Linked DNA regions of Drosophila melanogaster. Changing the gene in region 1 together with any one later gene gives a genetic interaction. Each region holds a gene or a part of one and is shown on either strand. Other genes may lie near its edges.

Evidence for each region.
Region 2: of Uba1 (region 1) and Ras85D, changing one suppresses a phenotype caused by changing the other (phenotypic suppression), as found in Drosophila melanogaster (2 studies listed by BioGRID).
Region 3: of Uba1 (region 1) and Stat92E, changing one suppresses a phenotype caused by changing the other (phenotypic suppression), as found in Drosophila melanogaster (one study listed by BioGRID).
Region 4: of Uba1 (region 1) and hid, changing one suppresses a phenotype caused by changing the other (phenotypic suppression), as found in Drosophila melanogaster (3 studies listed by BioGRID).

Annotation. Positions count from the first base shown.
Region 1 is NT_033778.4:9,686,882-9,696,561, forward strand, and holds Uba1 (ubiquitin activating enzyme 1), read right to left. Parts: upstream 6,448-9,680; 5' UTR 6,160-6,447; coding exon 5,401-6,159; intron 4,823-5,400; coding exon 3,101-4,822; intron 3,039-3,100; coding exon 2,730-3,038; intron 2,673-2,729; coding exon 1,887-2,672; 3' UTR 1,408-1,886; downstream 1-1,407.
Region 2 is NT_033777.3:9,508,867-9,515,772, forward strand, and holds Ras85D (Ras oncogene at 85D), read right to left. Parts: upstream 4,202-6,906; 5' UTR 3,922-4,201; intron 3,587-3,921; 5' UTR 3,426-3,586; coding exon 3,287-3,425; intron 3,131-3,286; coding exon 2,874-3,130; intron 2,816-2,873; coding exon 2,642-2,815; 3' UTR 1,695-2,641; downstream 1-1,694. Other genes in the region: rump (rumpelstiltskin), read right to left, coding at 570-1,144; Rlb1, read left to right, coding at 4,497-4,523, 4,581-5,945; mRpL47 (mitochondrial ribosomal protein L47), read right to left, coding at 6,003-6,153, 6,207-6,484, 6,536-6,818, 6,897-6,906. UniProt on the Drosophila melanogaster protein: Ras proteins bind GDP/GTP and possess intrinsic GTPase activity. Plays a role in eye development by regulating cell growth, survival of postmitotic ommatidial cells and differentiation of photoreceptor cells.
Region 3 is NT_033777.3:20,547,263-20,554,072, forward strand, and holds the start of Stat92E (Signal-transducer and activator of transcription protein at 92E), read right to left. Parts: upstream 3,846-6,810; 5' UTR 3,459-3,845; intron 1-3,458. Other genes in the region: DPCoAC (dephosphocoenzyme A carrier), read right to left, coding at 5,647-5,794, 5,865-6,051, 6,308-6,573, 6,634-6,810; att-ORFB (uncharacterized protein), read right to left, coding at 6,322-6,573, 6,634-6,810. UniProt on the Drosophila melanogaster protein: Might play a role in signal transduction and activation of transcription.
Region 4 is NT_037436.4:18,181,463-18,188,613, reverse strand, and holds the start of hid (head involution defective), read left to right. Parts: upstream 1-2,972; 5' UTR 2,973-3,491; coding exon 3,492-3,822; intron 3,823-7,151.

The DNA.
Region 1 (9,680 bases):
GCAGTCTTTATGCCCTATCCCAAATTTAACAAATTTTGGGAATTTAACAACGAGCTTTTAGCTTGATGAGCAGTCGAGATAAGAGCGAAATTCGGTGTACAATTTACGAGTATTGTTCTGAAACTCTTCTTTTTTTACACCTGAAAGCGGTCATGGATGAGTGGTTCACAAAAAAAAAAAAAAAAAAAACAAAAAAAAGACGACAGAAGAGCTCCCCAGTGACACTCTTTTTCCCGTGAGTCAACAGCCTCTGGTTTTTTTTGGCGCTAGGCAGATGTTCGTACCAAAAGCTGACGCACTCTATACGTAAGAGCGGGGAGATTTAAATCTATGGGCTCATCCCCGCGAATCACGCAAAATACGCAGTCGCAACAAAGAAAGCATTTTAATGGGCACATATGTACGTAATGCACATATGAATGTACGATCGAAAAATGTACATGTAAGTCTTTACATTTCAGTGATTCAGAAGTCCAGCTTAACAAAACCAATAGAACGAAATGAATAATATGGAATAATATTTGGATTACTCTTTTCATAAAACAAAATTGTCTGTTCATTTTTGAGAAACTAATCTTAAAAAACATAAAAATGTACTGTAATGTGGTGTTAGAACAGGAATATTCATATTCTAAATCTCTTGTGGTACTCCTGTAATGTATCTCTAATTTTCCCAGCTCTATTTGAAAACTTAGTCACCTACTTTCACCTCAAATTTAGATAGGTATTAATCTTAATTCTGACCCAGCATTTCCACTTTGCCTTGTAAATAGTTTGTTCACTCATCTTTTTAAAGTAAGCTCTAAGTAATAAGACGATCTTATATGTAAATCTTAAATACTTAGATGCTAACAATCAGAGCCCTAAGGAGTCGAACTACAAACCCAAAACTTTGATTACCCTGCCCAGAACACACTTATTCGACGGATACAAAGCTGATCGGCGCAGCCACTTTCCTCGCCTCGCTTTGTTTTCATTAACTGCATAATTCAAGCAAGTTTGCCAAAAAGCCGCAAAAGGCCAAGAGTGAGATGCGAAACTGCATAACTTTGGCCATACTTCAGTTGCATTGCGTGTAATATTTAATTATAAGAGGACGCCGCCACTCCGCCCAACGCTTTCCATGAGCGGTGCAACTTTACGGCACTTGCCAATTGCACTTTGGTGGCAGCAGCCTCCTTGGGTGCGGGGCGGGGGTGGTATAAACGTCTTGAGAGGGCATAAAATATTTAATTGTGTCACGTAACTTTCTGAAACTGACTGGCGTACGGATAGATGGCATCCCCTATATACTTCACTGGCAGAGCAGTATGCATTACAATTTTAATTTCCGAAGTGGCGGGGGAAATGAGATTACCAGACGTCAAGTGCTGAACGAAATTATCTGAGTCGTCTAGCAGGTCGATTACCATATGAAATATACAGCTTTATTCATTTGCTTTACTCCTTTTAATACAATGACGTAATTAGTTTATGCTTCCATATAAAAAAAATATATGAGTGAAGAGAAATTTTCCGCCTGGCTCATTCAGTTTTCAATTTCCAATTAATCAATGCGATTAAAATCCGCCTTCGGTTTTTCGTAATTCGTTACCTTTACAACTATGCTGAGCAGAGAGTTTCATCAGATGCATTTTAAGTGTTGCTTTTAGTCGAGTCTTTGTATTTCGTATGATGCGTATTATTTTGCCATTCCTTAGAGGATTCACACACATTTTATATAATTTCTAGATCTGGGCTGCTCTCGTAATGGTGTTGTGAAAATTAAAATGCAAACAGCTAGACAGTAACTCCTTCGTTGGAGCTGCGCGATTCCAAAACGCGTCGCCGACAACAAAACGGGATCGTAAAATAATTTAATGGTTAAATTAGGAATATAGACGGGCTTAGGGCAGCGTGTAACGGACGTAGGGCACCTCCACATCCTCGCCATCCACATCGTTGCAGCAGATCTCGAAAACCAGGGATCGCTCGTGTGGCTCCAGGCGACGCTTGGACACGCGACGCACGACCTCCGACATCGGCAACGGCAGTCTCTCAGAGCACTTGGCCTTGGGCATGAAGAACGAGTACAGCATGGACACGCCCTGCGAGAGCATGGTGATCTTAAGCTTCTCATTCTCCTCGAAATAGTTGAGGAATTCCTGCAGCGACAGCTCCCCGGTCACCTCAAAACGGTCCCACAGCGTCCACTCCTTGCCGTAGTATGTGTTCTTGGCGGCAGGAAGCGGCTCAGAGAAGGCCATGAACGGCAATGCCAAGTTGGCGAAGCCGTTCTTGAATTTTACGAGATCCCGGTGGCCGACGATCAGCTTAATCACCTCGAGCACAGCCAATCCAGAGAGCACCGACGTGGTGGTGGCAATAGCAGGTATGATTTTGCCAGCAATCAACTTGGACTTGTGGCGATCCGCTGGCGGAATCTTGTAGTTGGCGGCGCGTAGATTTGAGCAGGCCACAATGAAGTCCATGTGCAAGTTACTGTCGTCGTCCTTTTCAAACTCAAGTGGCGTGATCTTGGAGCTTTTGTCGGCGTTCTTTAGCAGCTCTGAAATGATCTTGTCAACGCGATCCTGGTCCAACTCGCCGTCATCGAAGTTATTGGCCGAGGCGGCGGCTGCTGCCTCATTGGTTTCTATTTTCACGCCCGAACGGGGTTTAAACTCGGGCACCTATAAATCAATAATATCAGAAATGGTCCCCGACGGTATTAATCTCGAACAACTAACCTTAACCTTCTGTACCAGCTCTGCGATCGTCTCGCGATTGCGAACCTGCTCAATGCCATAGACCTCAGCTCGAAGATTGGCGGCTGCGTAGATAAAGTCGAGGTGCATGGGATCGTTGACATCAAAGACCAGGGGATCGGGGCACCGCTTGGGACCAGACCAAAACGGCTGACCACTGGAGGTGATCTGATCAGGTGGGAAGTTAAAGAGCAACTGCTTAATCTGGTTAACATATTGATCCTCCCAATAAAGACGGGCCCACTCCACGCAGTGCGCGAAACTCTTGGGTTTGTCGTCGATCAGAGCTTTCTGTAAAAATAAATTACCATTAAGTACAACATATTAGGCAAAGAAGTAAATTCTATCCTTACCTTGATGGAATCGAGGATCTCCAGAGGCTGAATACCAGGCAGCTTGGCGATTCGCTCGGTGAACTGAGGATCGGCGATGTACTGAGCAGCATTTTCTGCAGACTGCTTGAAGACGCCCTCAAAGGCGTCACGCGCCCACTGCAGAGTGTGCTCGATGGCATTGGGGAAGTTCTTCAGCGTGCAGATGGGAATACTCTTTTCTGGGGGATCCTGGGAGGAGCTATAAGATTCGGTGGCAAAGGGCACAATCACCTGAACGTTGCCCAAAGTTCCCAGAGTTCCGGTCTCGACGAGCGGAATGCGGTTGAAGATGCATTTGCGATCCATATATATGCGAGCATCCACGTTGTCCAGCGCATTGGCTACACCATCCAACTTTCCAAAGAAATCTTCGGAAAAGACTTTCTCTGTTTCGGCGCCAACGCGCAACTCGTATGCGGTGACATTCACTTCCGGATTCATCCGTTTGATAGCGTCGGCGGCCGTCATTGATTTAGGCTTCTGCACATCATGCGGGCGGAACAGGAACTGCCGGTTCAGATTCGACTTCTCAATGAGATCCATGTCTGTGACGAAAATCTGGCCATTGCCAGTTCCCAGGCCCAGCATTCCAAAGTTTTTCAATAGCTCACAACCAATGGCTCCGGCGCCGACAATAAACCATTTCGAGTCAGCCAACTTCTCCTGGAACTTCTTGCCAAATATGGCAATCTGAGAATCATAGCGCGAGCCCACCGGCTGGGCATCCGCCTCCTCGACACCCTCTGTGGGCAGACACTCCAGGGCGTCAAAGTACAACCACTGGTAGATGGGTGTAAACTTTCCACTGCAGGCCTTAAGCACCTCCTGGGCCACAATTCCACCAACGGCCGCGTCCAGCGGGCACGTATTACCCGAGCAGATTTTGGCGAATTGCAGCACCAGTTTTTCGTCGACTTCCGCGTTGCTGCTGGCTCGGACTACCTCGAGGAAGCTGTTGGCGTCCTCCTCGTTCCAGGGACGCGGTAAGGCTCCATTATGGGCCTTGCGGTAGCAGGAGAGGGCATTGAAGGCCACGTGCAGCGTGGCCGGCGAGTCCAGCTTTGCGAAATCGGAGATCAAAAACTCCGGCTCCTCAGTGGCCTGTGCCAGGGGCTTGAAGCTGATGGTCTTGGGCATCTTCACCTGGGTGGCCACTCCTCCGCTCTTATATTCTCCAAACTTGCTGGTATCACCGATGCTAAATGTGTAGGGTCCCAGCACTGTGATCTTAAGGGGCTGACAACCGTTCAGTTCCTGCATGCCCTGCACCTCCGAGAAGGTGACGTAGTCACCGTCATTAAAACCATGGCGCGTCTCGTCCAGGCAGGTGACGACTCCCTGTGCGTCGTGCGTGATACTAGCTATCATGGTGGAGATCGGCTGTGTGCCATCCTGATCGTAAATGGTAAAGCTCTCGCCAAAGTCACAGAACACCTTGGCGAACAGTCCGCGCGTCTCGGCGATGATCAGAGCAATGCCATTTTCATGGGCAAACTTGGCGATCCTCTGCTGCTCCTCCCCGTCGGAGTTGGTCAGTACCACAACGCGAAACTTGCGCAGGAACTCCTCGGTAAGCGGCCCCGTGTGCGAAACGGTGCGCACATAGTTGTTTAACTCGGCCAACTGGGCGCAAGAGGCCTCCGCACGATTCTTGCCGATATCGGCTTCCGTGAGATAGAATTGCGACGACAAGTCATGGAGCTGCAAGACAAACGAATAATCATTAATATTATATATCAACGGTGATGAAATTAGCAGACGGGAGCCATGACTAACAAAGGAAAATTGGTTCTGTGCCGAGTGTACAGCAAAGACATATTTGTCATTAGAACAAAAAAGTTTTTATGATACAAGAAAACTTTAAATTGAAAGGCTATTAACTAAATAATTGATATATTACGGTTTATGAGAAACTCATAGATCTTAAGTTGAATCTTTCAGTGCATAAAACAAAACCGAATGCGTTGAGCAAAGGGGAATGCAAACACAACGGCAGCGAGCGATGCGCATACGGTTGTCCCGCTCACACACTTTTCGCATGGCGCAGACATTTTGAGGCAAATAGAAAAAGAAGGAAAACCGAATTACACACACAAAACGAATTTTTTGCAAGCAAATAGAGATGTTAACCTAACCTTATTTCGCGCGAAGTCTATGATAAATAAATCAAATAAAAACTGAATGATTCACTAAGACCAGGGATGCCAAGTCAGCCTTTCCGGGCATTTCCCGCGTCCGCCTGGAAAATTATCGATTTTTTCTTCGCCCCACACACATACCCCACAAGTTGCTGTGTCATGCAAGGTGATCGATTTCACGCCGCCCAGAATCACATTCTTGGCTATCTCCAGGCCGAGTCCTCCAAGTCCCGACAGAAGGATATCCGAATTGGCCATCCGACGCATCGCATCGTGACCCAGGACGTACAATTGGCGCGAGTACAGCGATTCATCGATATCTCCGCCGGCGGCGGCACTGTTTCCAGCCATGTTGCTGCTTCCTTCCAGTTGTCGGTTATTAGTGCTGTTATTACTGTTATTGTTGCTGGAGCTGACGTTGTTGTTGCTGTTGCTAGTGGCGGATGCACTGGAGGAGGCTTCTTGCGATTCTATTGTGGTGGTGTTCAGGTAATTGCGCTTCTCCGGCCGCTTGCTTCCTTCCTTTTCCACTGCTGACGAGGTACTAACGTCGTCGCCGCTTCCTTGGCTCTGTTTCAGTTTCTGCTTTTCGGCTCGCTTCGCCGCAGCATTAACGCCGCATGTGTCAGAGGTAGACGACGATACGCACAATTCCAGCTGGTGCTCGCTAGTCGTCTTGCTCTGGCACTTGCCCGAAATGTCAACGCCGCCTGCTTTGTCGTGATTTTCGTAGTTGTTGCTGCTACTGCTGCTCGTTGCTCCGCCGGCTTCTTCCTCTTCCATTCCCATTGCCCCCACTCCGTCACCCAACAACTCTAAACGCCTTTTTTTGGCCAGCGGCGAATGGTCACTTGAGCTGCAGGCTGGCGAATCGGCCATCAATTGCTGACCGCTCGACATAGCTTCCTTGCTGAAATATTGGCAATCGAATTTCCCAGTTGCGGCTGCACCGCTCGCCCTCTCTCTTTCGCACACACGCACACTGCAGAATGCGGACACACGCACACGGATGGACACACAAGAACGCTATTTAGTCCGGAAGTCAATTTCCCGTGGTTTCTGACTCGTTCCAGGACAGCGGATTCTATTTGTGGCCGAATTTCTAACAACGCACTCCCAAAAATACAGAACACGCACGATCGAGTTGCAGTATAGAATTCGCAGTAGTGTGGCCGCGGCTCTTGAAATTGGCAAGCCTGCCCAGTGTGACCGACCTGTGTGAATTGGAGGTGGCACAATATAGATTTTATTGCGATGCTATCGATATTTCCGCAATTGGTTAGTTAGGTTTCTTTTCTATATAATAACGCCCAGATTAATAATCCAATTAATTCACATTATTTTAATAATTAAACAGACGGCTTTCATTTTTATTATTCTATTATTTGTAAGTTGGCCAAGTAAAACCAAATGAATTTACACAATTAAAATTGGTAAGCGGGACAAATAAATCAGATTCAAAACTGATTTGCAATACTCCAATTAGCAAAGAATAGGCAGTGGGTTTAAAGCCCAGCTAAGCGCAGTTAAGACTTAAACCTTTTGTGTCACTAACTTATCTAAATAATATTTTTTTGGAGATCTGGCAGGCCTGAATAGTCTAAGAGGCGGTGTTGGTAAACACAAGTTTACCGCGTATTCAGGATACATTTGAAATCGTTTATGTTTATGTTTTTACTACACCGACTGAAATATTAGATTTTGTTAGAGTTAGTTAATTCTTTTTAAACTTGAAAAAAAAAACGGTTCGGGTTCAAAAAATACAAGCTCGTTTAATGAAAATATGGCTCGCATTTTCAAAAATTTGTTGATTTCAATTGACATTTTTTTGCTATGTAATGTTCGAAATTTAAATGTATATTGGTAATATATTTATTTGATAAAATTTAAAGTGGGTTTTAATTTGTTTCAAACTGCTTATAAATAGATGATAACAGACTTCTGGGTCATTACTTTATTTTTCATAATTGTGGTGCAAGCACAACCCTGATATCTTGATATTATTCATTATAATAATAATAATTATTCATTATAATATAGCTTGGCTTCCCCATTATAAATTCCTATATACTTTGTACTGGTCAAACTTAAAAGTAACTTATACATGTATATGGCTTAAACTTGATATTTTTGAATTATGCCATTTAATAGATCGTTCTTATTTTTCTAAACAATTCAAAAATTGTGTTCCCTTCTTCTATAAATAAAGCAATATTCACAATATTTTGAATAAATAAAATATATTGGAATATTCGTTTTTGTGAGTGACATAATATCGATTGAAAGTTAATTTAGCAAATACATATTTCAAACGTAGAACAACCTCTTAATAGATGTGTGTTCAAAAAACTTAAATTTAATAATTCTTTACTCTCCGATTTCATCAACTTCTAAGCCATTAGCTCGAAATTGAAATATATACTTCAATGAGTTTGCTGGTCATCAATCTGTCGGCACTTGAGGCAATTATCCTGGCCCAAAAACCCCGATCGTGGCACGCGCCCCTCGGCAGTTGTCCCACAAACCAACACCAACTGACCCACGGCGAAGTCCTTCGGTGTCGCTTGGTCCTGGCCGGGTTCAATATCCTTTGAGAGCGGCTAATCTATTTTCGGTCGGGGTTCCCTTTCTGTTCTGTGCAACGGTAGTCGAGCATGAAAATGCGTAAATTTCCACGAAAAACAGAGAGCTATCCTATACCAGTTTTCCGAGCGGCGGGGGTGTGTCCTTTTCAAGTGTTGAGAGCGTGCCATTAGGAAAATGCAGTACGAGGGGCAACAGCTGCAGGATCTAAAGCCCGGATCTTGTCGCACAGTTGCGTAAAATGCATTTTAATTTACGCCTACAGCTGCGCGAAATGCTGCTCCCGTTTTAGAAATTCCCCCCTCCCTCCTCCGACGCTCTAATTTTAGTCCGATCTCGATAGGATCGAGAAACTAGCCGCGGACTTTATCGCGTGCGGTGTGTTCCACGTCCTTGTCGCGTGGTATAACCCGAAAAACACAAATTCCTGCCAAATTAGCATACTGATCCTGCAGCGAATGAGCGGGGGTGTCTGCTGCCCATCTGTCCTCCAAATATTCTGCATCGCGTGCCCCCGAAGAGATATAAACATGCATACGTATGTACATATGTGGAATGCACTCCGCCCTCCCTAATTAAGCACATCACATATGGCCACGCATCATCCCTATGCAAATATTCAACCATTAATCAATTGGGAATGTAATTTGAATATGAAAAGCCGCTGAAAAAATGGCTGGCACTATTAATTTCGCCGCTGTCAGCGGCTGGCAGGGTAGAAATGCCTATTCCCAAAAATTGGCAAAGGGCTTTGGGTTATTTTTTTTTTTTTTTTATCCTACACCAAATTATTGTAACAACAACTCGGCAAATTGAATTTAAAAAGAACAAGAAACATATGCTCATTAAAATCAAGAGAGCTGGGAGGTTTTTCATAAATAAATAGATAAATGATTAAACTCTCCTTAAACTGTTAGAAAAGTCTTTTTATGTCCCCTTCACTTAAAAATTATGCCTGAAGTTCCAACTTTTTTCTAAAACATTGAGGATAACACGAAAGGCACGCAGCATTAGGTGGCATTTTAATACTCCGCTTCTTTCAGAGCGACAATTGTTCCTTTGACTAACCCCAAGATTGTGGAAAACGACTCCTTGTTGAGCCACAACTACCGAGGTGCCCATCTAGCCCAGTGTCTCGAATTGCGTTTATCAAGGAGAAAATATATCTCTTCTGGCGATCAACATCTTTTTGTCCTACGAGTATTGCCACTAAATGACGAGCGGTTCCCTCGCTTTAATTGTCTGGGAAAATGCGCATTATCGCACAGCCACCATCTATGAGGAGAAGGAAGACGATCGCAACAATTGAAGAAGTGTCCCCTGCCGCCTTGGAAAATACGTTACAAATCCAACGCTTCGGTGATTTGGCTCTGGGCCTCCAGTGAGTTGGTCAAGTGGATTGCCGCTAGTTGCTGCTGGTCTTCCCCTATGCGTTGTACCAGCTCTTTCTGGCCTAAATACGCGCCGCTTTATGCTCGCTGAGTAACGTGTGAAAGTCGAGGGAAGCCGGTCAATGTAAGAGCCCGAATGAAACTTCGAAGGAAGTGCTGGCTGCAATTTTGATTTGGCCCCGCGGCGGCGGCATTGTTGCAGTTGCACGAGGGCGTGGACAGTTGGCCACAGGTGAGTGCGTCTGCTGCCCAGGTAACTGCTAATTGGGGCCCACGGCGGAGTGCGGAGAAAATGTGTGTGATATAATGAATTATAGATTTGCCAACTAATAAGGCGTAGCGTCAGTAGTAGTAGTAGTCGTAGTAGTATGACAAATAATTAGGCACTCATATTTGGTCAGCTTTCGTTTAAATGTTACTCTGATGAACTAAATAGCTATCAGTTTT
Region 2 (6,906 bases), on another chromosome or scaffold:
GAGAACGGAGATTTCGTTGTAATCAGATGAACACAAACTGCATATATTATATATATATATATATATATTTGCATTACAACTAACTGATATGAAGAGTACGACTGAACTCGTAGCTAATATTAATGATAATTTTCGGCATGTTCCCCTGAATAAAATTTTATATTTATTATATCAGCGATCAGTAAAATTTTCGAAAGAAATATGGTTAAATTTAATACGAAACCCTTAAGGAACCACGATTAACTCGCAGTACGCACCCTGGGCTGAATGTAAATCGGGTTGTCACCTAAATGATGCACAAACGACAAAGGAAACTCCTTAAAATAAAAAATTCAGTTCGTACGTGATAATAGGAACTTTAGAATGCAATATTCCTGACCTACATACATATATATGAAAAATCAATGCAGAGCCGCAATCGTTGATACATTTAAAATGGAACCACTGCCAGCTGGCAAGTTTCTAAAAATTGAATAGTATATGCGTGCCATGAACTCAGCTTTCCTGCTCCAGAATATCGGAAAAAAGTGCACATACGTATAGGATATAAGCGTAAAGGGAATACTCACAGTCTGTCGTCGTCTCGCCGGGAGAAACCCCGATCGCGGTCATCCATGTGGTCACGGCCACCGCCGCCACCTCCTCCATTGTTGCCACCATTGCCTCCTTGTACGCCGCCACCGCCGCCTCCACCACCACCACCATCTCGCACAATGCGTCCGTATTGATCGCGCTGCTCGCCGTGATCCTCCTTGACCACCAGTTCGCGGCCATTCACCTCATAGCGGTTCATTTTCTCCAAGGCCTTCTGTACGTTCTCCGGATCCTTGAACTCTACGATGCCACAGCCGCGAGCCTTGCCGCTCTCATCGAAGAACAGCTGGACGTACTCAATGGAGCCGACGATGCGGCGGAACAGATCCTTCAGATCCTGCCAACGGTAGTCGTATGGAATGTTCGAAATGTAGACCCGGCAATTGCGACGTTCCCGGCTACGGTCGCGAGCAGCGACGCCACCTCCCTGACTACCAGCGCCGTTTCCATTGCCATCAGCGTCCGTGAAACGGGAGCCACGTGCTCCGCGTCCACGACGGTCGCGCTCCTTCTCGCGGCTCTCCACCGAGTTACTAGCGTCCATGCTCATTGTTGTCTGCAAGGGATTCGCAATGCGTTTTGTAGTTCTTGCAATATTCGTAGTAGTACACACCCGGAGCGGCGTCCGCGAAAACAAAATGGCGACCGCGTCAATCGACTTTTTCGCCAAATGTTCTTTTCTATGCTAGCGTTATGGCTTACCTTTTGATGTTGGCTGTGCTCTTAATACTGGTAATATTTCTATTTTGCTGCTTTCGGCGTAGTAAATTTTATACAATGAACAAACGCTTGTGACAAACTACAGTTTCCGAGATCAATAGAAAACCGTACAAAAGTCTATGTTAGAGTTGACAGTGATACGATGACAGCACATTCATCGATGGTTTGATATTTGGACGTGTCTCAGATTTCTATCGACTAGACATCGCCGATATTCGAAAATGCTCTTCGAATTATCGAAATGTAGGCATACTGCAATTTACGCGCGCAACGCAAAAATTCAAATAATAGAATATTTGGCTCAACAAGACAGGAGACTTTAGATGGAAAAATAGAATCCACAAAAGCAAAACTATGGAATAACTAAAACCACTTTTCATAAATAGTACACACAATCGATTTATTTCGTTTCTTTTTGTATGGCAAAAATTAATACAAAAAATTAAATATTAAATGTATGTATGTATGTATAAAAAGCTTAAAGCAAACTATATAATGTAAATTTAATTGGCTGTTTGTTTTCTCTCCGATTGATCTGTCAGTATGGTAAGTAGAAAGAAAGGCAAATCTCAAGAACTCATACGGATTATAATTTCATCATCGTAGCACCACAGATATGTGTTTAACCGAACATAAATCTAGTTTGGGGCTAGCGAATTTACTCGTTTGTGCGAAAGTTGCTGTGAGCTTATCGGCTTTTGCTTGTTTGTTCTCTAATGATGAATACTAATGGAATTCTGCTCGTGCGTGTGTGCGAAAAAAGATTACATTTATGTATGACTGTCGGGTTGAAACCAATAGATAACAGGGCTGTAAAAATACACAATATTTGTTTACATCGCGTTTCGGTTTTAAGCACGGAGTATCTGTTGAAGTACAAACAACATAGAATCAAGTTAAGTGCTGGTTGAAAACAAACGGATATAGCAGCTGAACCAAGGCAGTTACAACAGTATTCATAGTTTTTATGTAGAGGTACATATTCATTTTCATTTTCGATTTGCTTCGTTCGTTTTTGTTTGCTTGTTATTGTTAATACTCTTAAAAGGGCGCCTCGCAGCCTTTCAAACGACACAAAACACACACATTCACAAAATCATTTCGACGTACATAAAACTCTAGTTACTTAAATTAATTACAATTTCTCTTCTTTTATCTGACAATTGCACCGACCAACACGCTCCCACATGTGTGTGTTTTTCGCATTGTGTGTCCAAAATGGACAAACCATCGAGCCCAGGACGATCGGCGATTCGCCGACGCACATACAGACAAACAGGCGACATTTGAAGAAATAAAAAGTGAATAATAACCAATGCGTGGCCGTTTAGAGCATTTTACATTTAAATCTACGATTCGGCTTGTTCATTTTGCGGCCCCTCCGCCCCTTGTTGTCCTTGTCCTTGCGGATTTCGCGCACCAGTGTGTAAAATGCATCGTCCACGCCCATGCGCGTCTTGGCGGATGTCTCAATGTATGGAATGCCGTACTGTTTGGCCACCTGAGAACAACCATAATTAACGGAATGTTCGCTCGGAACTCTGAAGGCCGGTACTCACCTCTCTTGCCTGCTCGTTGTTAACGTTCCACGAGGCCAGATCACATTTGTTGCCCACCAGCACCATGGGCACCTCTTCGGCATCCTTTACGCGCTTGATCTGCTCACGGTAGGTGCCGATATCCTCGAAGGACTTCGCACTGTTGACGGCAAAGACCAGCAGGAATCCCTCGCCAGTCCGCATATACTGATCCCGCATGGCCGAGTACTCCTCTTGGCCGGCGGTGTCCAGGATGTCCAGCAGGCAGGTCTCTCCATCTGCAGGGGAATATAAAATGCATTTGAATATCGCAACTTCTTAAGGTCTCTTCTAGTATAAACGGGAAACCAAACCAGCGAAAGGGTGCAGAAATCTCTAGAGTATTTGGACCTGTGCAGCCCTAGCTTTGCCAGATCTAAGTACATATAACTCACCGATAACCACTTGCTTTCGGTAAGAGTCCTCGATTGTGGGGTCGTACTCGTCCACGAAATGGTTCTGGATTAGCTGGATGGTGAGCGCGGACTTGCCCACGCCTCCGGCTCCAACGACGACCAGTTTGTATTCCGTCATTTGGCTGTGGCGTCCGTTTTCGATTTGCCGTAGTCAAATGTCACAGTAACAGTCTCTTTCTCGCGATCGATGCTTACTCTCTTGTGAAGCGCCCGCAGATGCAGTCTCTCTCTCCGTACGCTTGTTGCGTGTGTTTGTGTGGGTGACTGTGCGTGTATGGGCTGCAAGTGGAGTAAATTATTAATTAAGATTGATTAAAATAAATTAAACGCATAATTAGGCAGGAATTAATGCACGTCACTGAGTCACTGTGACTAGGCGCTTACTCGCACAAACACACACGCACCACTGCATGCACACAGCCAGACGGGCAACACAAAAAAAAATGGGAAAAAGAGATCAATGACTCAAACTAAAATTAAAACCCATTCGCTCAATGCAAATTAGTTAGTCTCCCCCATAGCCGAGTTGTTAACTAGGTGAATTTGCTAATTCGGCGGCGTTGTTTTTAGCCCTTTTCTTTATTATTTTTCTTTTGCCTGCCGGGGCTGCGGACCTTCTTTGTTGCTGCCTCTTCAGCTAGCTCCTCCTTGTTTTTCCGCTCCGCTCCTCTCTATCAATACTCTGCCTCTCTCTTCTCGCGCGCGGCGCAGTTGCTGGGCACGTTTCACGTCACTTTCGCGGCTAACGGTGCGACAGGCGGTACTCCTCGATGGCACCAATTTAATTGCCGTGCGGTAATTGCAATTAACAGCGCAGGAAAACAATAAATCCGTATGTGAAATGAAGATGAAATCTAGGCTGTACGTAGCTGTGAAGATACTAGAGCTGGCACCAAGCCGATGGCACTATCGATAGCGATGGCTGCATTCTGGCCGGCACCATCGATGGACTTGCAATAGCGATTGCTATATGAAAACTAATCTAAAGAGGTGGATGCACTTCAGTCGACTCTCTATAATTTGCTTAAACTAATAAATGATTTGATCAATACAGCTTTCTGTAAAAACTGGCAGACGCTTTCTGCTTTTAATAATTGTTAATTTAAGTTCAACGGGCTGGCATCACCGTTTCTTAGCACGGACTCAAGCCTGAGTCTATTATTTCAACCACCACTGTAACGAAAACAGCATGGACAGATTGAAATTCAATAATTTGGTAAATAAACGATTTTATTTAAAATTATAGAGTTTTAATTAAAAAGAACTTTTACAGGTGATATCCAACAAGAAGGTCATTCAAAAGGCACGCGCCCAGACCATCGCCAAAATCGTACAAAAGCTGCGAAAGACAAAAGAGGCTCTGGCCAAAAATCCAGACAGTGAAAAGGAAAAGATTCGTTTACGCAAGAACACAGAATGCCTGGCCCAGTTGAAGGCTCTAAAATATATGGATATGGTACGCCAGTCGCTCCTGCAGGAGGGCACAAATCCCAATGCGGTGATTGCTAACGAGCGCTCCACGCCGGATGAACTGGGCATTGCCATGCTGCGGCTAAACAAATTGATGCACGGACTGGTGGACAAGTTTGTGGAAACCTTGAAGCTGAGCACCACCGATAAGGAGGCCAAGTGGCGTGAGGAGATCCTAGAGACGAGCAAGCGAAGGGCCAAAATAGAACGCACTGAGGAGCGGAAGAGGAAGCGCAAGGAGCTGAAGGAGCAGAAGGCCCAAACCAAAAACCGACTGGAGTGGTTAGAGCAGAACAAAGTGGTGGATGCAGATGTTAATGGAGCAACTGCGGAAACGCCCACTCTTCAAGTCAGCAAAGTAAATGATCAGGAAATACCACAGTCTTTTGCAAAAACTGAAAATTCTCCAGTTCTCAAAGTCAAAAAGGAAAAGACACCTAAAACACCAGCCAAAAAAGAAAGAAACCTTCAGAAAAAACAAGCTTTTGATGAGCAGATCAACCCGGAGATAACTAAGCTCAGTTCCAAAAAGCAGAATTTAAATACAATCAAGGAGAATAATGCAGAGCCACAACTAGAAGGCAGACCGAAAGAATCTAAGCCAAAACCCTTCGAGAAAAAACCAGCCAGAGAGCAGAAGCCTAAGCCACGATTAGAAAGGCAGCCAAGTATCGATGAAGAAGAACCACAACTTGACAATAATCGTCCCACACATGTCGTTGATCCCTTCTTCATTACGGAATCAGGCCAGCCCTACTTGTCCAGCGCCGTGGTTCTTTCCGGGGACAATGACAGCGAAGCTGATGAGGAACAGGCACCGCCGCCAGTCAAAAGGTTCCGCAATGAGGATCGACGGTCGAACACATATCGGGAGAAACCGGAAAGACAGCCAGAGTTCAAAGCGAGAAAGCCAACTGATGATCGTCATCCCTCCTGGCTGGCTAAGCAACAGCAGAAACCAATCATTGGTGATTTTAGAGGCAAGAAGATTACATTCGGCGACGACGGCCAGGCGGCGGAAATTATTGCTCCAAGTATCAATCAATTAACCGCTACTGCTGCTCCTTTGCCCACCGATGGCATGCACCCGTCTTGGGTGGCCAAACAGAAGTTTAAGCCGAAAATTGCCGCGTTTCAGGGCACAAAGATTAAGTTTGACGAAGATTAAAGATGATGTCAATGGTATTTTGTTGTTTTAATAACTAAATAACTGCAGCTTTGCTGCTCACACGCCAACTTTGGGCACATAGTGACCACGAATCTTGTCCTCGTTGCGCAGCTTGTCCACGTTGACATCGGGGAACTGGCGACGCAGCACATCCAGATCGAAATTGGGGTTGCGACGCAGGATCATCATGACTTCGTTGCGGGAGCGGCTGCAAAATAACAATTTTTATTGAGATATCCCATTTAACTAAGGGCAACATACTTCTTGGCCTTGCGCTTGGCATTGTAGAGTTTCTCCCTGTACTTTAAGAGGAATCTGTTCACAGCTCTGCCGCCGTAGCCAATGTTGCGGGATTTAATCCATTTGAGGTTCATGAAGGGCGGCAGGGCGTGTTCGCATGCTTTGTATGAGACCTGCAGGCCAAATGCGTTCTTCACCGCCTTCTGGGGCCGTTCACCCGTTTCACCTGTTTCCAGCAGGTGATACGCCTTGTTCCGCTCCCTCACTACTGTCTCCAGGTTTTCCATGGAGATTTTCACCTGCAATTCTAAAGTTTTAGAAAAGGATCTCCACCATCAAATATCGCCCACCTTATCGATGCGCTCCGGACTAGGGAAGACTTCCATTTTGTCATTGCACTCGTGCTCCATGGTCAGCAGCATGTTGCGCTCCTTGAGGAGCACGAACCACAGCTGGTGCAGCTCCTTGTTGGACTTGATACGCAGCTCCTCCGTCCGCCAGGCGCGGCCCACCTTCACCTCATTCTCGCTCCAGTTCTTCTTGTCGTCGAAGAACTCCATAAGATCCCGGCGAACAGCGGAAGTGTGCATTTGCATCGGCATTTGAACATGCGGCGTTTGCAGGGCAGCCGCACTACATATTACATAAAAACAAAGGCGCGTTTATATCGGTTACTCTGTGTAAAAGTCGGATTTGTGAAAGAGAACGGACCTGCACGACT
Region 3 (6,810 bases), on another chromosome or scaffold:
TTGAAAAGCTCCAAGGAATCCAAGTGCGGCAAGTGGAAAGTTTTATGGCAGCAGCCCGGCACTGATAAGACTGGTTGGAACTACGTATCATAAAAGGTAAGTTGGGACAGTGATACCTCGTTGCGCGGAATCAAACTTTTTGTATGGAGCATACGTTCTGCACAATAAAATAAAATGGGAATTCAAAATTCATTTGAAATATCAATAAAAATAGTTAATAATAAAATACAAAATATTGTGGGCGTAGAATTTGTATGTCCAATAGCAAAACCTTTTAGCTTTTAAAGTTCTAGCGATCTCGACGTTCATACATATGTTAGCAATAATACAATTTATTTAAATAAACCATAAAAGTGTTGGCATATAACTTTATAAAAATTCGCGTTCTTTGAGTTGGACACACCAATTTGAATATTAGTCATGCACTCTGTGGGGGGAAAATTTGTATGGGCATGACATCAAAGTTGGGATTGTTATGCCCGTAGAGCTTTGGTTGGGGTCACTACAATTTCCTCGGCCCTTAGTATGGCGTCCAAGCATTTCTGACCACTTCGAAAACCGACGATTGCAAACACCCAAGCGCGGGTGTGCTGCCTTTGTTGTTCCTGGCTGTTCTTTTCGCTTTTTGCTTTTTGCTTTCTGCTGCTTCGACATTTGTGCCAGCCAGCCGCGTTCATTTTATATTTTTCTTGTTCAATTTTTTATAAACAACGCACACACTTACGATTGCCCTGTGAGAAACGAGAGTCGTTTGTGGTATTTGTTTTTGTACTCATAAAAGTTTAATAAGCATGCCTCAGTGTTCTTTTCCTCGTGGTTGTGTGGGTGTACGCCGTACATCGACAATGGAAACCTCGCCGTTGCACCACCCCCAACCGAGCCCAAAGTGAGCCCCCCCACCACCACCACTTTGCCACACCAAGTATTATTTAAGTAATCATTTATCGTTGCTGCTCGCCTGACATTTTGCACGATGTTTGTCGGCTTTTGTTTCGTCTAACGAGAAACACCGGATCGATTGGGTTATATTGAGCTAAGTAATGTGTCGGCACACGGTTTCTTATCACCACATAATGCTCGTTCCGCGAACAGATCAATGTTTGTTGTCACACTTGCCCCGATGACCTCACTTATCTGTTCATAAATCCCACCGATCTTAAGCTCATAAAATATGTGCTCAAGTCTATTTGTCAAAAAATAAAGTAATTAAGGAATATTTGTCCAAACTGTCATCTGCAATACAAATACAATCATGGTTGGGTATCACTCAGTTATCAGTCTTGTGTTGGTGCTCAATGGTTCGAAAAGTGATTATTCGACTGAAGTCAGTCAGGTTATCAAACAATACAGCTACCAAACATTGTCTTTTATTGCTTAACTGTAAAGTCTTAGCAAAATTCCAATAAATGGGACTCCTTATCAGCGGAGTGCAACAAAAGATTCGCAGAAATGTATTAATCCTCTATTGAATCCATTTTTTACTGCTCTATATTACTTATTTGTTTTTCAAAAACTAATTAGCATTAGGGTCAATATTTCCATAACCAATGATTTGGGTTTTTCAAGTAATAAATAAATATGATCTTTAATTTTTTAATAATAAGTACAGCTTTGATTACGAGCTAGACAGATTTTCGGGTTTCAAACTTGATAATTGGGCATATTGACAAAAATATTTGTAAAATACGTTGTAGTAAGTTCCTCAAAGTAACTTCCTCAGAAACTATAGATTGAAGTTTTGATTCGCTAGTTCGGGGGCCATCTACTACCACCAGAAAAGCATTTTGCCAGCGATAAGCAGGCACAATATGTGTAAGTACAGTAGGCCCCCAATCTATTGAAGGCGCAGCAGAGTGCTCCATTTACGACAATGAAATGCAACGCAATAAACGACTTTGATAACGAGGTGTCAATGTAACAAAGTAAATAACGAGAGTCGCCGATAAGAAGCCGGCTTGATTTGCGCTTGAGGATAGTGATTCGCATAATAGCGCAATAATTAGCACTGCCTATATCGAAGATCCAGAAATAACTTTAAACACATGTGGTGGACTGGATTGGTGGCGATAAACTTTGCTGCATAAATACATATGTTCAAATCTGACGGGAGTGAGTTCCAACACGATATAGAAGAACTAATTGGGGAAACGAACTTTGAGCACCCTATAGTTTTAAGTATCGTGGCATTTAGAGTATATCTGTTCATTCGAATCTATATACAATATATTTTCAATATATAAAAGCCACATTACTACTTTATTTCAATTCAGGGTGAACTTTAAATGTAAAATATAGTTTCTCAGACCGTAAATACAATTCTGAATAAAGTACAATATTATATTGTATCTCCCTTTCATCTATAAAATTAATGATTTTAACCACTGTTAATAAATAATGGTAGTTATATAATGTATGCGTTTTATTAGTTGACATAAACGAAGAAACCCCTCTGCCAACTAACCTATGTAAGTTGACCGTCCACCTGGCCATTGATTGGAGGACCCACTATGACCAATGATAATCTACGGTGTCCACAGCAATGCGATCGGGTTTATCAAATGTGAAACGCCAAGGGGTTAGCTAACGTCGGCGTCGCTGACAATCGTAATTTGTCCGAAGTGGTAGAAGCCAGCCGGGTTATAGCCAGGCCAAGAAGTCATGGTGGAGAGAGGGGAAGCCCGCGACGGAGGAGGGGGCAGTAAGCGACCGACGACAGCGAGCAAGATAAAAGTGTTGAGCGCGCAGAAGTCGGCGACGTATGAAAGCAAGAGTAGCATGTGAATATGAGAATGATAGGGCCCCGTACGTCAGACACTTGAAAAAATAGTGCTAGAGTAACAGTTAAATATGTGTTGCCAAATGTTGTGATACCAGGTGTTGAATCGGGCCCCAACACATGGGATTAATTTACCAATGCCTTATACAAAAAATTGTATTATGTATTTATACAAAAAAGCTTAATTTTTTAAACAGAGGACATTAAATATATATAATTTTTAGTTTTATAGCCTCGCTTTCTCGCTGTGCAAGGGAGCGAGTGGGACGGTGAGATGGGGAACAGCTAATATACTCGATATCAGTGTTGTTGTTGCTGCCATTTGTGCTATTGCACTCGAAATTCTTGTTGCCTTTGTTTTTATGGGCTTTCCAGGAAACAACAATGAACGGGGAAGAAGAAGACCGGGAAACAGGAGCGTGAAGAACACATGTGCATGTGTGTGGGTATTTTGTTGATGTATAAATAAAGCGTCAAGTGGAAACACATGATGATGGTGCATCGAATTTGTGGCCAAAAGGCAGAGAACCTTCGTGAAGGCCTTGCGGAACCACCACACGCCCACCCACATTATTTGCGCAGTGCACATTTGCAGCGGAGTCCTCCCACCCACACACGCATTTATATACGTACCCCCCACCACTCGTAAATTTGTTGCTCTTTTTCTCCTATTTCTATTTACCTTTGGTACACAAACACCAACGCACAACACTGTGTAAACACACACGGCTGGCTGGTATCGGTTAGTTTGTATTGGTACGCCTGCCGCTGTTGCTCTTCGATATTTTTTATTATGTATTTGCCGTTTTATTTTTAAATCGCGCTGGCTTCACGCACACACAAACATTACACACACGACGCAGTGCGAGGGAGACGGAACGCACATGCACACCCGCACACGCACTGAGAATTTAGAAAAAAAAACTAGAGTCTCGACCAAAGGAAATCCTATCAGTTAAACGAATCCTTGAAAACAAAGTGCACTTGCAAAAGAATTCAACTGGTTGCGCATTTGAAAATTGCTCCGCATTCGAACAATTCCCTATAGTGGCTAAAAAACGACTGCCGCGTCTCTAGAGTTGGAGCGAAAGCGATCCACATGCGATACTATCGGACGATGAACACATGTGAACAATCGCTGTTAACAGTGGGTATCGATTCTGATAAATCTCTGCCAAACCGGGAAGATAGGAAATTCTAATTAGAAAATAAGTTGATTTAATTTTATAGAGCAGCGCAGTAAAATATTGTTAACAACCAGGGACCAAAGCTCGATAACTATGGTAAAACAAAATTTTTGAATTGTTATTACTTATAAATTTTTGACTTGGAATGCACATAATTAAACAAATAGCATTTAGGATTTTTCGTAAAGATGTTCTAAAAGAAACATTAAGACTAAACAAGTTACGAAATATATATCTCTATCGTGCTAATATTCCACTAAACTTTGTGAGTTAATTAAAGAAAAATAAGTTGATTGAAGTTATTATTTAGAAGTAAAATGAATTTGATGGTGGAAAACTCTGATAACCCGAAGTGCAACCCTCGCACCCCTGTTAAGTTAACAGCACTGTCGGCTGCTAAAGAATAAACAATTTGCGAAGCTAATTGCGATAAACAAACATTTATCAAAGGGGGTTTACACCCATTTTCGCATCATTGTGGCGCCGCAGATATGAGTGCGCATGTTGTCTGTACACACACGAGCTGCCACCCACACATATGCACCGCTGGCGGTGTAATTAATTGCATTTGATTGATTTGTCCACCGAAAGTCAAGGTTACCCCAGACGCAGAGAAGCACAATTAATGGTCTTTTGCCAACTCTTGTGTATTCTGCATATAAACATACGCGACTTCTGAATTTTCACCTGTTGTGCGCAGCAACAAGCGAGCATGAGAATGCCACCCCCGACCCTCTTTAAATGAAGAGGGTTGGTGCTCGGAGAGGGGTTTTTTTAAGGCTGTGCCCCGTCTAATCAATAGGCCTTAAATAATTAATCCATTCCACAATCGGCGCAGCACAGCAAATCACTCACCTTTCAGATTGCCTTTTTGGTTATGGCAGGTGTTGGGGGAAAAACGCTTTTTATCCTTAAAACAACACCGCCTGCAGCTCACGGCTGTTGGGCCACCTAATTCCAGGGCAAATAGTCTTAATTATCACTTTTAAAACGCACTAAATTTACGTTGTTTTCGTTTTGCGAGCACTCGAATTTTTGCGAACGCGACTACCAGCATATTTCGATATACAGCACCCCCGCAAAAGATGTTATCGCGTAATCGCCGGAGGTGCCACCTGTCACAACCGATGGCGCGCGTTTTAAAAACGATTGAGATAATCGATCAGTTAAACAATTTTGTAAATTTTAATAATAAAAACACACTAACATACAAGAATTACATAGTATATGCTGGTGTGAACACCCTCAAATTCATGACTATTTTAACAGTCGCAGCGCCTTGACATTGAGTTGGCAATACACAATATACAAAATGTTCGGGTAAATCGTAATCATTAATCTAGGAGTGTTATTGTCAAAGCAACACCATTGAATACGAGGTCCTGGGGAGCAGTATGTGCCAGGCGAGTCATTATTCAGACAGTTTATTGGCTGATATACTTTCGGCTTACGGCGATAATAAATCAATTACGGTTAATAACAAAGTTAAGCGCTTTCGGGTGTCTTCACTTCATCGCTTCTCTCCCTCACAACTAACAGCTAAAAAATATCTAACAATTAGAGCATGTCGGTGCTTCACTTCTATTTCCTCAGCTCATCCATCGATCGCGAGACTTAAGATCAAAGCAGTGCGTTTTTGGTGTGGTGTTTATGGGTGACGAGTGGCAGGGGCAGGGAGCTGGGCTATTTCTCAACCCGTCTCAAGTTGGCCAGCTCCGTGAGCCACGCCTTGATCAGATCGTAGGTGGAGAAGCTGATGCCCACGGCGATGGGTCCCTTGATCCAGTTCATGCTAAGTCCCTTGTAGAAACCGTTCTTGACGCCCTCCTCACTGTTTGGAAATCGTAATTAAAATCGCAATTAAAATATGAATAAAATCGTTGACAAAGATTTGCACGCACCGATAGATCTTGACGAGAGTCTCCAGGATGGTTGGGTACCGATCTCCGCCAGCCGTGTTCACCCGCATTGTCTGCATTCTTCGCCGCACAATGTCCAATGGATAGCTGGCCGTTTGCCCGGCGGCACCAGCCGCAGCACCGAAGGCCAGCGAGACTAGAGTATTGGGTTTATTGTTGCCGACCACTTCTGCAAGCAAACAAGTCATTTAGTTGGCAAATTCAGTGAGCACTTAATTAGAATATAGGTAACTTCTACTAGCATAATCAAAATAATGACAATGACCCAGAATGCCGGTTTAAATTGAAATTATCTGTATAATTCCACAATAAACTTGGGGCTTAAAACCGAATTCTATGGACATATACAATATACAAGAATTTTTAAATGAACATCTCCCCTAAGTCTATAGAATTTTATATTAGGATATAGGTAGTATTCCTACCATAGTATTCCCGCTTAAGAGTCTCGTAGGTGAAGAAGGAGGTGCCCGCATAGGGAATCACGCCGAGAACGGTCGCCCAGTAGCCGCGGAACAGCGTCCGCGGACCCTCCTCCACCCAGATCTTGGTGAAGACTTGTCGCAGCGTCCGATAGCCAGTATACCGATCCGTGACGGCCATGCGGGCGCGTGCCAGGTCCAGAGGATACGTCAGCGACTGTGAGGTGATTCCCGCCAGGGAGCCAGCCAAAAACCGACGACCTTTCGTGCTGCAAAATAGAATGATTCGCCATGAAGTTGGTGAGAATCTAGAGCATAGTACAACTCACTTGGTGCCGTCCTTGTCGACGTGCAGGATGCGACGCCACTGCTCGTGGGCCGTGAACTGTATGGCTGCGTAGGGCACGATTCTGGCCATCGTGGCCGAGTTCCCCCGCCACAGGGCCAAAACGCCCTCGTTGGCATAGGTGTTTTGCAGGTAGCGCAGCGAGGCTCGAAACGAGAAG
Region 4 (7,151 bases), on another chromosome or scaffold:
TTGGGTCGCTGACCCAGAAATGTCAAACAGGGAAGTCTTTTAATTTGTATTTCTCCATACTCCATTTGATTTGCCTCTATCGCGTGGAGAGCTGATTTGTGGGACTTCAGTACTGATAGGACTGGATATTTTTTAAGTGTTCTCGGACTGTTAATATTGCAGTGGTAAAAATCGGAATCTAACATAGATACAATACATACTTACATACTTACATATGTACATGTATGTACGTCTTATTTTAATTTCTTTTTGAAGGTAAATACATATGTATGTAAAAATTTAAGTTTTAATAAGTTGTTTAGATTTAACACGAAAAGTTCATTAACTCATCGTTTTTGGCATTGTTACTCTTTGTTAAAATATACATACATATATTAATTTCTTTTATTTAAAATGTATGTATTTCAATTGAAAATAAGTTGCATTTTGAACACAATCTAGGCGTACAAATACGAAACTTCTTTGAAAAAGTATGGAAAACATGGCTACTGTCTTTGTGTATCCAGAAACTGCGTGCTATTGAATTTATAACACGCAAACGGTGCTGCCTCAAGTTGATTTCATCACCCCCATTCAAAACACTGTTATCTGAAAACCCCACCCATTTTTAAAATGGCCTGTTCAATCGCGCATTTTTCAAGACAACACATTACTGTTTATTTTGCTTTTTTCTGGACACTGACAGCCAATTCGACGACACAGTGCACTCATATTACGCTTAATCAGTTTCGTATCCAAATATTTTGTATTTATTTTGCACTGCCTCGAGTAATTGGAGTTGCGAACGGGAAAGATATACAAATAATATAATAAAGGCGATCTAAAAACATAAGCAGAGCTGAGGGAAAACAAAAAATAAATCACAAAAATCGAGCCCCTTTTTTCCGATTAATCCCCGTTTTCTCCGCCTTCACGTACTTTTGTTCTTTTCGCTTTGGACTTCTTCGCTTGTTGCATGCTCGCTCATGTTCATGTTTTTTATGTCGTTTTGTGCAAGAGTGTGCTTGAATTTCGTCATCTTGGGAAATCCTTGCATAATGTACATATTCATGTATGTTCATCCATACATACTTACGTACATACATTTGTCGTCGAGTCGTTTAGCTTACGTGTTATCGCACTTTATCGGCATATTTTTGACCTCAATCTTAGTTTATTAAATAAAGAGAGTTTTTGGGTGAAAACAAAAAAGGTGTCAGGTAGGGCTAAAATCATTTTTGATTTTAAAAATTTAAGGTAATCATTTAAGGGATATGAACAAGTATAATAAAACTAGATTAAATGCAAGTGCATTTTCTTCAGAATTTTCGACGGGCCTCTTTTATTTTGAAATATGGGCTATTAAACTAGTTTTAGGTCTAGAATCTAATTTGTTTTAAATTATATTGCGAACATTTTATAATACCACATTATTAAGAGAGCTACTAGAGCTACATAGATACAAAGCTAATAAATGGATCTAAAGTAATGCCAGTTACGAGAATTATTTGCCGTAAAATTTAAATTAAAAGCCAAGAATTGTTTTACGCGTATTTCGTAATTTTTTTCAAGCGTTTTCGCGCGCAAAGTTGGGAATGACAGAGAAGGAAATAGAGAGAGAGAGAGAGAGAGAGAAAAGGAGAGGAAAAAGCCTGTTTGTATAATGTGTGGGAGGGAGAGGGGAAGATGCAGAGGAAGACAAGAGTAAGAGCGAAAACAGGTTTTTCATGTTGCACAGTCAATTTTTGATATATGGTGAAATTGATTAAATATAGCCAACATCCAAATCGGAAATGTAATTAGCTAAACTCCTTATCGTATATTCAAAAACACGTTTGAAATGTTTAATGTGAATGAACGCCAACTAAATAGTCTTTATTACATTGCTTGAATACCCAAAATATAAAACAATTTAATTTATTTTATTAAATACAATAAACTAGCTAATCATTCTCTGCATAAATGTACATACATACATACATATGTACATTCATTTAGCCAGTAAAACCTGAGCTAAGCAAGTTGGATCCTTTGTTAATCATGTTGCTATTTTTCAAATTTATATTCAAAAAAAAAGTATTGAACATTATAAAATTGTGAACTTCCCTTCTCAAAATATTTTAAAATGTGAGAAAGTAATCAAGCTTTGTCTAAAAACTCCCTTTTTTCTACTACCTTTTTAACTCATTTAATCCGCTCATAGAATATACTCCCATTTATCATACTCTTTCTACTCCGGTTTTTTGGCCTCTTAAGAACGCTTGCTCTCCCTCCGCTCTCTTGTTTAAACAAATACAAATCAAAACCGAAAGCAAGAGCAAAGTGCAATAACGAAAACCACAAGCAAAGAGTGTTGTACAATTGCAGTTTTTGTTTTGCTTTAGCGTTCGCTAGGCAGCGCAGTCGGATATACTGCCTCTTCGCTACTTCTGATGAGTTTTCTTCTTCTTCTGAATTTACCTGCTCGACAAGATCTTTGTGTACCCACACATACACGCGTACACAGCCTGCCCACACACTCTTAGTTGAAACGAGAAAGAACGTTTTGTAAGAGTACCAACTGAGACATACCCTTCACATTGTTTGTGCATCTAAATATGTACTTTATGTTGTAAGTAAATATGAGTTATAAAATAGTGTTACTTCAGCAATTAGTGCGCTGGTACAATATTTCAGTTTTTTCAGTATGCGAAAGCCAATCAATTAAATTTTTACAACCTTAAAATCTAGATATGTTAACTATGCTCCTTGATGCATTTATGTAGACGCAATTCATGGTCCGAGTATACTCTTCCTCACTCAGCTATTACAGGGTAGGTAAAGAGCGGGATTTTTTAAAATATTTTTTTTCTCTCAAGTGTGCCTCCTTCATGCACGTGCATGTGCAGGAGAGGGAGCGAGAGAGATTGCGATTGCACTGGCTGCGCGCCTACGCTGCCGCTCTGCCGACGTCGCGGTAGAGGCTCTGTTGCCGTAGTTTGAGGCCCCAGTGCGAACAGTTCATTTTTAGCCGCGGAGCCAGTAAGACGTGTTTCCTGCCCTCTTTCTTTGAGTCTGCGACACGTTTTAAGTGCTCTTCCATAATTGACAACAGCAAAAGCAAAGAATAAAAAAATAACAAAAAATAAAAAACGAAATCCATCGTGAACAGTTTTGTGTTTTTAAATCAGTTCTAAACACGAAAAGGGTTGATGAAAAACGCAGAAGAATCCGAAAAACTAACTAACCGAGCAAAAACTTGACTTGAGTGTTGTTTGACAAATCAGGAAAGATAAAAAACAAATCATAAGAAAAAACTGCACGAAAAATGAAAAAGTTTCTAATATTCAAAATCTTGCACAAGAAATACAAAATCAATTAAAGTGAACTCTAACCAAAAGTTGTACACAAAATAAAAAGCAAAACAAAGCAGCGAAGAACAATCACAAGAAGAGCAAAGTGCCAACAAAGTGCAGGAAGGAAGGAAGCGGATAAGGACAAAAAGGAAGCCAGCACACACACACACCCACACAATGGCCGTGCCCTTTTATTTGCCCGAGGGCGGCGCCGATGACGTAGCGTCGAGTTCATCGGGAGCCTCGGGCAACTCCTCCCCCCACAACCACCCACTTCCCTCGAGCGCATCCTCGTCCGTCTCCTCCTCGGGCGTGTCCTCGGCCTCCGCCTCCTCGGCCTCATCTTCGTCCTCCGCATCGTCGGACGGCGCCAGCAGCGCCGCCTCGCAATCGCCGAACACCACCACCTCGTCGGCCACGCAGACGCCGATGCAGTCTCCACTGCCCACCGACCAAGTGCTATACGCCCTCTACGAGTGGGTCAGGATGTACCAGAGCCAGCAGAGTGGTAAGTCTACAAAGATCTCAATTCTCCACTCTTAAGAACTTTGAAATTGTGTGGGTTAATCAGGATATCCATTTAGTTTACCTCAAATACATTTGCAGATACAAAAATAAGTTTCGATTCATATACGGTTATTAATTGCGAAATGTTTAAGAAGTTCCCACACAGAATAACTGCTTACGCATGTTGGTAATATATTTTCTAAAATGCTTATAACCAACACTTTATTTAAGCCCACTTGTTTTGCTATTAACAAGAAGGATTTTCATAGGATCTCCTTGTAAAAGTAAACAAAAAATGTTATTAACTTGAAATTGCTTAAAGAATAGTAAATTTATTTCTTTCGAAAAAACAGCATTTTAAATGTTTGAAGATATTTTCAAACTAATAGATTTGATCAATAAAAAATGGCGAACAATTTTTTTCTATACAAGCGACTTTAAAGGTTTCATATTTTTGATTACCGCTTTTAATATCATTTAGTTTAGTTTAAGAAAGTTTCTGGACAGCCGGAGGGTTTCCCTCATTTTAAAATGGGTCAGCAATTAGCCAAGTTGTGACGTTATTTGTTAACTGCTTCAGTTCCCCTTGTGCAAGTTTCACTTTTCAAGGTTGTTGATTCATCCAGTTTCGAGTAACTGCGTCAACTGCATCCAGGTTGTTTTTGTTTACTTTTACCCAGTTTTTTTTTTATTTTATATATGGTCAATTCAGCACTTTGTCAGCTTATCAGCAAAAAAAAAAGTGTAAAAGGCAGAGCGGAAGGCAAATTTCTCGGCCACATTCGAAAGGAAGCCGAAAAAACGGTAATTCAATAAAAATTAATCGAACAAGTTCAAAAAGGGGAAAATTGAGAAGTAATTGAGAAGTTTCGATTGGAGGAGAGAGCAAACTTAATAAACGAAGTCACAAAACTGCAAAAACTCAAAATCATGTGGGGAATTACTGGATCAAATTCCCAAAGTGGGAATCTTACAAATTAAAAAATTTTGTATTGAGACAAAAATCTACTTATGTTATAAATAAATGAAAATAAAGTAGAAATGGTGATAACTAGCTCGATAAATCACATTAAGATCAATTTCCTTCGGTCATGATTATCTAAACTAGGCTGATAAAACTTTTAGTGTGCTATGGCTTTAAGAAAGAAACGCCGAGACACATGCAAGACAACTGCCGAGTTGGCTGTCATGCGATATTGTTCGTAAATATGGTCAAAAAATTGGGCGTGTGCTGGACCAGCAAGAAAATAAAGACCTGGCTGAAACCAGGGAAACATAACCCAGCGGCAATAAAACAGAGCTGGGAGCACAGAGCTAAGCACGTTTAATTGGCACGCGCCAAACTCGAGTCGAATGTCTTACTTTTGAGACTTTTGAGTGAGTGTGGTGTGCCTGTGTGTCTGGGTATCTGCAAGATATCTATCTATCTCGAGCGTACTGCTCGTATATCTTACCACTCGACTAACCCAAATTATTAAACGCCATTTGACCTTAGGCAACTAGTTTTCCGATTTTCCAAAAGGGGGCCAAACGGGTTGAGGGTGTGGGCCATTTGCAAAGTGTTTGACTTAACGGTTGTTTAAGTAGCTTTTGTGCTCGGCCACGTTGAGTGCGGTCAGTTTTTATTGTTTTTCTTTTTTTTGCGCGCGCGCTTTTCATGTTTGCTTTGCGGTTTTTCATTCGCGTTCCTTAATTTTGTGTTGCCTTTGCATAATAGATTTTGTCGCTGTCGATGATTGCCAGCTGCGCTCTTTGGTTCCACCGAACAACCGAATTGTTACTTTATATTATTTTGCTGTTTTATTTGGTTTGTTACCTTTTTTGCTGTCAGCAACAGTTGGTCAGACGAAAAAAAAGCGTTCCCTTCTCGAAATTACAGTGAGTCACTTTTGGGCGCTTCAATCTGTTTTCGTCTATAATATCATAATTTATACAGAGATACTTTTTTTTCGCTTACGAGAGCTGATGCCCAGTGAAAATTCGATTGCGGGGCATTTATTTTGAAAAACGAGCTAAAAAGACTTGACGTTATCGTGAAAGTTTCGATTTAAAAGTAATTTTCCCTTATCTCATTTTCCCGAACCACATCTAAGCCCCTACTCAACGCACGCCGATCATGTACTTTAGTTAGCCACTCAAGAGGATAATTTATCTAATCGTGACACATCCCGAAACTAGTGAACAATGCTTGAAGCCCTTGAAACAAGAAAGGGATAAACTGTAGTTAACCAAGAAGCGAGAACCCTTTTTCCTGGTTCCCCCAGCTATGCCATACATACACACATACATGCAAGCCAGATTCACGGAATACTTTTAGCCAGAAACGCGCTTAGTCATCAGCCAGCTATCAACCCTAAAAGCCTAAAAATGCGAGGCGCAAACAACCCCGACAAAAATTCCTAAATACCAACAGAGCTTTTCCCTACCAAAAGCAAAAAAAAAAATGCGGCAGGGAGCCTTTTGTTTTGGGAGAGGATTATGCATACAGCATCCAGAGCCCACCACGTAACCCATTCCCAATGGCGACCAACAAAAGGTGCAATGACAGCAGCGGTTCCCTAATCAGTGATGGGAACAGGTACATTTTATCTGTTGGCTAATTGGATGCAGATTAAAAGATGCGTAAACCTAGCGGTTATTATGTAAACTATTATGGACTATTACTTTTTTGGTTCAACATTTAGTTATTAACATAGATTTTTGTTATCATAGATAATAATATGTACCTATGTAGGTACAGTGCAGAGTACAAAAATGTTCCCCACCGTACTCAACTCCAAGTTTTGGTCGCTCTGCTTTGGCTTGCAAATTCGCATCATTCGCTTTGCTGTTGCCAACAGCTGTTCTGCTGCTAGGCGTTGTTTTTCGCTGCCGGCGTCTCTGCCGCACTTGACATTTTCAACCATTTTGTTTTGCTCGGCAACTTCGTGTAGGTGGACTTTAGTAGAAAAGAGGAGCCATAATGGCGGCAAAAATGGCGACTCCTGCCGCATCCTGCCTGGCAACAAAACACAGCTGACTGCTGCGCAGATAGAGCGAGATGAAGCCTACGCCTGGAGAAAGAGAGGGAGCGCAAAAACTCCGATTAACCGCAAGTTTTGAACTCCTCTTTTTTCTGCACAGCATCACAAAGGGGGTGGGAAAATAGGAGGAGGGTTGGATGGGAGGAGGTTTGCCTCCGCTTTTCATCATCGTCATTTCCATCTCGATTTGCTTGGCCTGTTGCCAAGCTGATTTATACGTACAGGCGGCTTTTTATATTTTACATACTTTGCATTGCTTTTTTCTGTTTCTCTCGTTGTCTGCTTTATTTTTTCGCTTTTCGTTGGT